2 linked regions of the Callithrix jacchus genome follow. The protein of the gene in region 2 interacts with the protein of the main gene of each other region in a pairwise test. Links are inferred from orthologs where the notes say so. Each region holds a gene or a part of one and is shown on either strand. Other genes may lie near its edges.

The links. The genes of interacting proteins can lie anywhere in the genome.
Region 1: the proteins of CDK6 (region 2) and CDKN2B interact in binary tests that used the Homo sapiens proteins (3 or more experiments, as listed by UniProt). The link is inferred for Callithrix jacchus from reciprocal best matches to the Homo sapiens genes CDK6 and CDKN2B.

What each region holds. Positions count from the first base shown.
Region 1 is NC_133502.1:129,005,608-129,009,355, forward strand, and holds the start of CDKN2B (cyclin-dependent kinase 4 inhibitor B), read right to left. Parts: upstream 2,418-3,748; 5' UTR 2,071-2,417; coding exon 1,915-2,070; exon of another isoform or gene 1,749-1,914; intron 1-1,748. UniProt on the Homo sapiens protein: Interacts strongly with CDK4 and CDK6. Potent inhibitor. Potential effector of TGF-beta induced cell cycle arrest.
Region 2 is NC_133512.1:56,784,953-56,788,700, reverse strand, and holds the start of CDK6 (cyclin-dependent kinase 6), read right to left. Parts: upstream 2,340-3,748; 5' UTR 2,248-2,339; exon of another isoform or gene 1-2,247. UniProt on the Homo sapiens protein: Serine/threonine-protein kinase involved in the control of the cell cycle and differentiation; promotes G1/S transition. Phosphorylates pRB/RB1 and NPM1.

The DNA.
Region 1 (3,748 bases), on a different chromosome or scaffold from region 2:
TGCAAAATCTTATAAAATTGTGAGAACAAATGATTTTTGTTAAACAGTTCATCATTTTAAATTTAGAGTGTAATATATTTAATGTAATGTAAAACTAACAATATATTTATATTTTTCCATGTACTATAGGATTGTATAATAGCTAAGATTTTATAACGTTAAATAGTAAATATTTTGCTATATAAAAAGAGCTTGGGCCAGGTAATGTAATCCCAGCACTTTGGGAGGCGGAAGTAGGCAGATCACCTGAGGTCAGGAGTTGGAGACCAGCCTTGCCAACATGGTGAAATCCTGTCTCTACTACAAAAAAAAAAAAAAAGAAGAAAGAAAAAAAATTAGCTGGGAGTGGTGGGGCCGGTCTACAGCCCCCAAAACTCGGGAGGCTGAAGCAGGAGAATCACTTGAACCTTGGAAGCTGAGGTTGCAGTGAGCTGAGATCATACCACTGCACTCCAGTCTGCCCAACAGAGTGATGCCCCATCTCAAAAAAATAAAAAATAAAATAAAATAAATAAAAAGAGCTTGGATGTCAGCAGTCAATCAGGATGATGCATAACTTAGAAAAAGCGTTTTGCAGGAGTAATCCTATAGCAGCCATTTGTGTACATGAACATTATCAAAACATTTGCTGACATATTTTAAGTTAATTATAAGACAGTTTTTGGTAAATGTCCCAAATCAAGTTATGGGTTTATGTACTTTAAAATGTACCATTTAATTGAAAGGCAGTATACTTCTCATGTTTTGTTTGCTTATTTCATTAATATTAGAAATGTTCATTTCCTCCCTTGAAAACCATGATGTTATTTTTTTACTAGCGATGTAAGGTATTTTACATAGAAAACAGAGGGGAAAATAGCTGTTCTTAGTATTTCAGAAAATGGTGAATTATATATATAACTTGTTTTTATAATTATTAATAGAATTTTAAGTTTTAAAAAACCACTTTACAATATTTTTGCTCCTTTAAAATATCCCTTATTTGTTTTACCTCTATTCTAAGAATTCAAAAGAAATGGACACTTCTATAAAATCTACACTGTAACAAGATCCCTTAGTATTAGCTTAGTTTTGGAGGGTGATAGTGAGGTGAATACTGAATATGACCAATAGCCAATGGTAAAGTACAAAAGTGTTGTCCTAAGATTGTAAAAGAAATTAAAAATATCAGTACTAATTAAAGCAGGATTTGTAAACATTGAATACAAGTACTTTAACAATGAAGATAAAGATACCTTATTTATGAAGATCCTTTGTCATTCAGAAAGGACCTAACAGTAGCTGCAGGAATATTTTTGTAATCTGAGCACTGAGTATGATAATTAAATGAAAAATCTATAGAACTATATGTATATATTTTTCTCTTATGCATCACTTATAAGACATTGCTAACATAAAAAGAACTAAGTACTGTGGTTGAGGAATCCAGTCTTATTACTTTGAATTCAATTAACCTTTATGAGAAAACAATACAACAGATTTCATATAGTAGCTTAAAACTTTACATTGAATTTTTTCCATGTACTATGATTTTGTAGAATTCCTTAAATCCAATCCAGAATGTATAACTTAGTTTACTTATCTGTATCGTTGAAAGCAGGCAGACAAGTCTTCCTCCCCAAATAAACTTTCCCTTTCTCCTTTTTTTCCCAATTCAATCTATTCCTTGCATTTCTGATCATGAGATGGCAGAAAACAATATTTTAAAGAAAAGCTGAAACAGTGGGTTTTTCAATCTCTCTCTTTAGGATTTTTGTTGGGTAAAAGCCTGTTTTATGCCTGGGCTGTACACCTCCGGCCAAGGGAGACTGCTGCGTAAGTCTACACCGGCGATCTAGGTTCCAGCCCCGACCCACCGAGGCCGCGCCCCGCGTTCGCGCGCCCCCTGCCGGCGAGGCCCCGGGGCCCAGCTACCTGGATTGCGCTCCTCCCAAAGCGGTTGACTCCGTTGGGATCCGCGCCGGCCTCCAGGAGCTGTCGCACCTTCTCCACTTGTCCTCGCGCCGCGGCGCTGGCCAGGTCCTCATCGCTGCCGCCCCCACTGGGCATGCCCTTGTTCTCCTCGCGCATTCCGCAGCCCCCAGACGCGCAGCGGCCCGGGTAATCCACCGTGGGCGGTAAACTTAACGACACTCCTCCCTTCTTTCCCACGCCGCTCCGGCGCACTGTCTTCCTGGGAGAGCTGGACTCAGCTTCATTCCCCTCCGCCGTGCGTCTGCGGCTTGCGGCCCCGTTCGATGTCAGAGCGGCGGGTATTAGCTCCGGGCTTTTTCCTGGCCCCAAGAACCACCCGGCGCGACTGGATTGCTTCTGGGAAAAAGCGCCTCGCGCGGCCGCAGCCGAGCTCAAAGCGGCTCTGGCCGCAGGGTGCGGACGCGTCGCGGAGTCCTCACTGCCCCGCCTTGCTCTGGCAGAGTGGGGAGCCAGCCGGCAAAGAATTCAGTTTTCAGCTGGGCCAAGGGGCCTGCCTCTCCCCTCCCCCTTAGGCTCCGCCCCCTGCCCGCCTGCTCGCGGGAAGGCCCGGCCCGGTCGACGCGTCACGGCGGCGGGGAAGCCCGCCCAAAGGTGCTGGGACGCATGCGCCAGAGACTGGGCCGGGGAGCCGCCGGGACGCCGGCAGCACTGCTGGCTGGATGTCCAGTAAATCCAAGGCTAAGATTTTGGGAATGTTGACCCACTGCCCTCAGCTTCTAATTCCCAGTAGGCGGAGCAGAGGACTTCTGTTCCGTCAGCCTTAGGCCAGTTGGTTTCACTTGAGAGACGTTGGTGGCTCCCTTGTGGCTGAGAGAAAGGCACTGAAAATAACTCCGTCTTTCTTAAGATGTCTGAAAGCGACAGCTCTGCACCTGTCATACAAGTTAAATTCATCCCAGGCAGTACTTGAACTTCGTAAGTTTCATATCTTGTGTCAACCTTAGCAATTTTCTTTTGGACGTGTCTTCCTATTTGAATTAGTCAACCATAATAATAGAGAAAAATTCTGAGAATCCTGTTTTGCATGTGCCTTTAAATTCTTTCCATCTTTGCATTATGAATATAACCCTCAAAAAAGAAAAAAAAAAACTAGTTAGAGATTGAGAGTGGCAACCTGGAACACATAGACAAAAAAAATTTATACTTTAAGAATCTGAGATCCCAGTTTCATCATATTTGTACAGCAAATCTTTGTTTGCACTCTTACCTGTTTAAATCCACTTTGTCAAGCATTTAATTTTTTATTTATCGTGAGTAGTAAAGGAAATTTATGCAGTAATGATGAAACATAATAAGAGAAGGGTGTGGTGCTGGGCCTGTCATTAAACAGGCTGAACCTGTTATTAAATTCTCTTCTGAAGATTTAAATGCCAAGTGCCTTTTTTCCCCTTTCTAATCTTCCTAGGTGAGTTTGAATCAACATTTATTATATTATTTTAAAAAATTTCAGCTGATGCTAAATTGGCTAGGAAGAAAACAACAAATTATGGATTTGTTGCCTAAAAACTTTGGTGAGGAACTACACAAGTGAACGTCTCCTTAGAGTGAACAATTTTTATTTACAGAATCATTTTGGTTCAGAGTGCTGAGGAAGACAAAGTTTTAAAAGGAGGGCAATTGGTTGTATATTGCAAAATGAGAGTCTCCACCTGTTTCTTCTAGGATACCTCAGCTCTGACTCCTCATCACCCAAATCCCTGTAGCATGAGAGAAAGCTTTCTTTTAAAGGAAGTGGTGCCCATGGAAGTGGTGGTTAGGGCTGAAAATCTGATGG
Region 2 (3,748 bases):
CCCGATGCTGGGAGTGTGCGAGAAGGGGTGGTCAGACATCTGCTCAGAAATTGCTTCCTTTCTTTCAACTTTCAGTTTTTCTACGAGGAGACATTTAAAAACGACTTGCACACACAAATGGTCTTTTTGGGGTAAAGGAGTCCCGGTTGGAAACGAAATTCTCTCTGCGACTGGGAGGAGGACCTCCCTGGTGGAAACCTTGGGAAGACCAGCCATCTGGTCTGGGAGGGTTGGGGCTACTCGGTGGTGGGTGAGCGAGAGGCCCTGGGGGAGGGGAGACCCCCTCACCCACAGGATCCCGAGGGTGGCGTCACCCACAGGATCGCCACACTTTCGCTTGTCGTCTCCTTAAAAGATAACTTCAGGAAGACGGTAGCATAATCGCGCCCGGTCCTGAAGTTTTAAGCTGATTTCGACCTGAGCAAAACTCAACCTCCCTTTCAAAGGGTGGGGGGTGGGAGGTTAAATCCTGCGCCTCCAGGTAAGCGAGAAGGTCTGTGTCTTTGGGGCTCGGACTCGCGAACCTCTTCCCACTCCTAGGACCTCCCGGCTGTAGGTAGCGGAGGCGGCTGCCCCATTCCACCTCCGGCTAAAGGCCAGGTCCAGTCTGCAGCCAGACGCCCCCGGAGCCCTGTGAACAACAAAGCGCCAGAGAAGGGTACCCTAACCTTTCCTCCCCACTCAACAGCTATCTGGGACCAGGGGGCCTCCCTCCCCCACGGCCACCGTGGCCTCGTCAGTACTTTCGCCACGCCGGCCGCATGTCTAGAATTCCCGGGGTACCTCGGAATTACCTGGCCCGCAACTGCTGGCCCGCTTGCCTTTTGCCAGGATTTAAGCAAACGGCACGACCCCACAGTGGGCGGGTGGAGTGGACCGCGGCGAGAGCAGAGATTCTGGCACTCACTCCATTCAGAACTTAAAATCCGAGCAAAGAGCCCCCAGGGACTGCCGGGGGTCTGAGCCAGGTCGAGGGCCACACAGGTAGCCGAGGAGCCGCCACTGGCCGCCCAACCCGCCTCTCCTCCGTTCCCCCATCCCCCTCCCGCTAGAGTCTAGCCCCGGGCTCCGCAGCGAAGGAAGCGTCGAAGGACGTCCCACCCCCACAGGGAACTGTGCCTGCTGCCCCCGCAGGGCCCCGCACGGCCCCGGCTCTCCCCCTACTCGCCCCCCAGAAGGTCGGCCTCGGCGGATAGAAACGGGAGCAGCAATGCCTTTCCCCCCCCCTCCTCCACTTTTTTTTTGTTGTTGTTGTTGCTTTCCCACGCTGGCTGAATGTGACTTGACCCCATTTCAAAAAAGTTTGACATAGTGCTTCAACATTTCCGCATTCCTCCGCGACTACAAAGGCTGCAGCCGCCTCCTTCTGCTTTCTGTCTCTGCTCTCTGTCTTCACACTCAATGAAATCCTTCATGCGCCTCTCCCGAAGCCTGCCAAGCACCGCAAGGGTCGCCACCAGCACAGCGACAAGAGGCCACACCGGGGACCGCGACTCCCGCGTGTGCGCACACGCAGATGCGCCCATGTGCACACGGTCGGGCGCGCTGCGGTACCAGGGTTGCTCACCGCGGGGCGTGTGTTTAACTCCAGTATTTAAAAGTATAAAAGTAAACTTGGAAACTAAAGCAAACGTGCGTCTTCGCGGGTCTCCAAGCCTGGGCACTGGCCGGTTGCGTGCACTCTTCTGTGCATAACACGCCCGCAGGAAGCCTGCGTTAACATTTATCTCGTGGAGGGGAAGGTGGAGCCCACACCCACACCTCAGCGAGCTGGAGGGGGAGCTTTGGTGGGGGAAATAGGGGGATGGAAGCACATTTTCCAGCATGGAGTCCCCAGAGGCAGTGCATTTGAAACCCTAAATGTGAATTATTATGTGAGTGTCCGAGTCGAGTTCCAGTTCCGTTGGAGAAACTGGATGGGGAGTGTTCTGCGTGGGTGTGTGTGCGCATGGATACGTGGAAGCAGGATCTCGGTGTCGTGGGTGTCCCTAGCATGGGATCTCCCCTCTCATCAGGAGATTCCTCTAGCTCCCCAAAACTGGCCCCCGTAACCAACCCCGTCTCAGTTTGTAAGGGGTTAACCAAAGCCGATTCCAGGGAAACACGGGTCCCCCCCCACCCCACCCCACCCCGCCACGCTCCACTTACCCCCACCCACAGTTATGCCTCGGACCCGGGCCAATCTCTCAGATCTCCCCCGGGACCCCCCACCCCGCAGCCCACCCACCCGAGCGCACGGCTCCTCACCTGAGGGGCCCAGTCGCGTCGGGCCTCCTGAGGAGGCTGCGAGTGTCAGTCGGCTCTCCGCACGTGTCCACGGCCTGGCGGAGCAGGTAATCAGACTCTGGGGAAGGAGTTACCAGCACTCTCCGGCGAGGGGGTGGGCACAGCGGCAGAGGGCGGAGGGACGGCGGAGGGCGCCGCCCGCGCGACTCGCTGGGGGCGGACGGGGCCGCGGGGATCCGGCCGGCGCTGGGGGCCCCAGCCGGGGAGGCAGCGTGGGAGACCGCGCGGGGGAGGCGGGGACCCACGAAGGCAGCTCTGCCAGAGAGCCACCCCTCGGCGGGGCTGGGGGCTCCTGGCGCAGAGGCAAGCTGGTGTGCAAATTAAAGCTTTCCGGAGAAAGGGGAGGCGGCCGAGCCCCGGCAGGGCTCTGAGCTCCAGGCTCCCCAGCTCCGGTCTACGCGTCGGGGGCTAGAAGGGCGCGGGGCGGAGGCGGGGGAGTTAAATGAAAATTTCCGGCTTTCACTGAAACTGGAGTAGGGGGATCCCGCTACTAAAATAAGCTGCGTTAGTGGGAGAGAGTGGGGACGTGTCGGGAGTCGGCGGAGTTTCCAAACCCAGGGTCTCCAAGAGTTGGGGTTTTGACAGGGTGAAGTGGGGGTTATCCTCACTGTGTGACGTGGACGGATGGGAAAAACAGAAAACAACCAACAATAATTATGAGGGGCCGATGGGGGTGGAAAATACCAATACTTTACAAGAAACTGAAAAATCAGACCAAAAATTAACTCTTCTCTATTAAAAAAAAAAAAGTTTGGCAGGATGCCTTGCAGAAAAGAAATACTAATCTGTCCAAGCACTTTTCACTTTCAGCATGAGCTACATTTGTTTTGTTTTCCTTCGCTTCCTTTCGGCCTCACAAAGCCCTATATTTTCCTTTTAGAGGATATGGTTTGGAAATTATCAGGCACTCTTATGGTTAACGATCTACTTGAAGGGGCTGGCGGGTTCACAATTATTAAGTGGTCAGTAACTGCTGAGGGTTCACTAACGTATTTCAGAGGAGCTAAAAAGACTAAAATGTAGTGCAAATAATAGAACTGCAGATAGTAGATACATACACACAAAGAGGGGTGCTCAGTTTAAATGCATTATTGGAATTCTGAAATTTGAAACCTGGTAAGAATGTATACTTTACCTGCTGAGAAACCCTTGAATACAATTATTTTAGATGAAAATGAGATTTTGGACAAAAAAAAAGTCTTTAAAACTTTCTACAATGGAGTAAAAGAAAACTTGAAATAGCTGTCTTTTTGGAAAGAATTTAGTGTTCTCCAAAATCTGTATCTGTAGAATACTTGAAACCCTTTAAAACATCTAAAAGCAAAACTTTTCACAAAATTATTTACTTCAGTTCTTTGTAGAAAAATTAAAACCCTGCAAAATTCTGTTTTAGTTGGAAATACTACTTCTATAAATCTTTTGACTTTAAAACCATGTTATTAATCTCACAGTAAATCAAAAT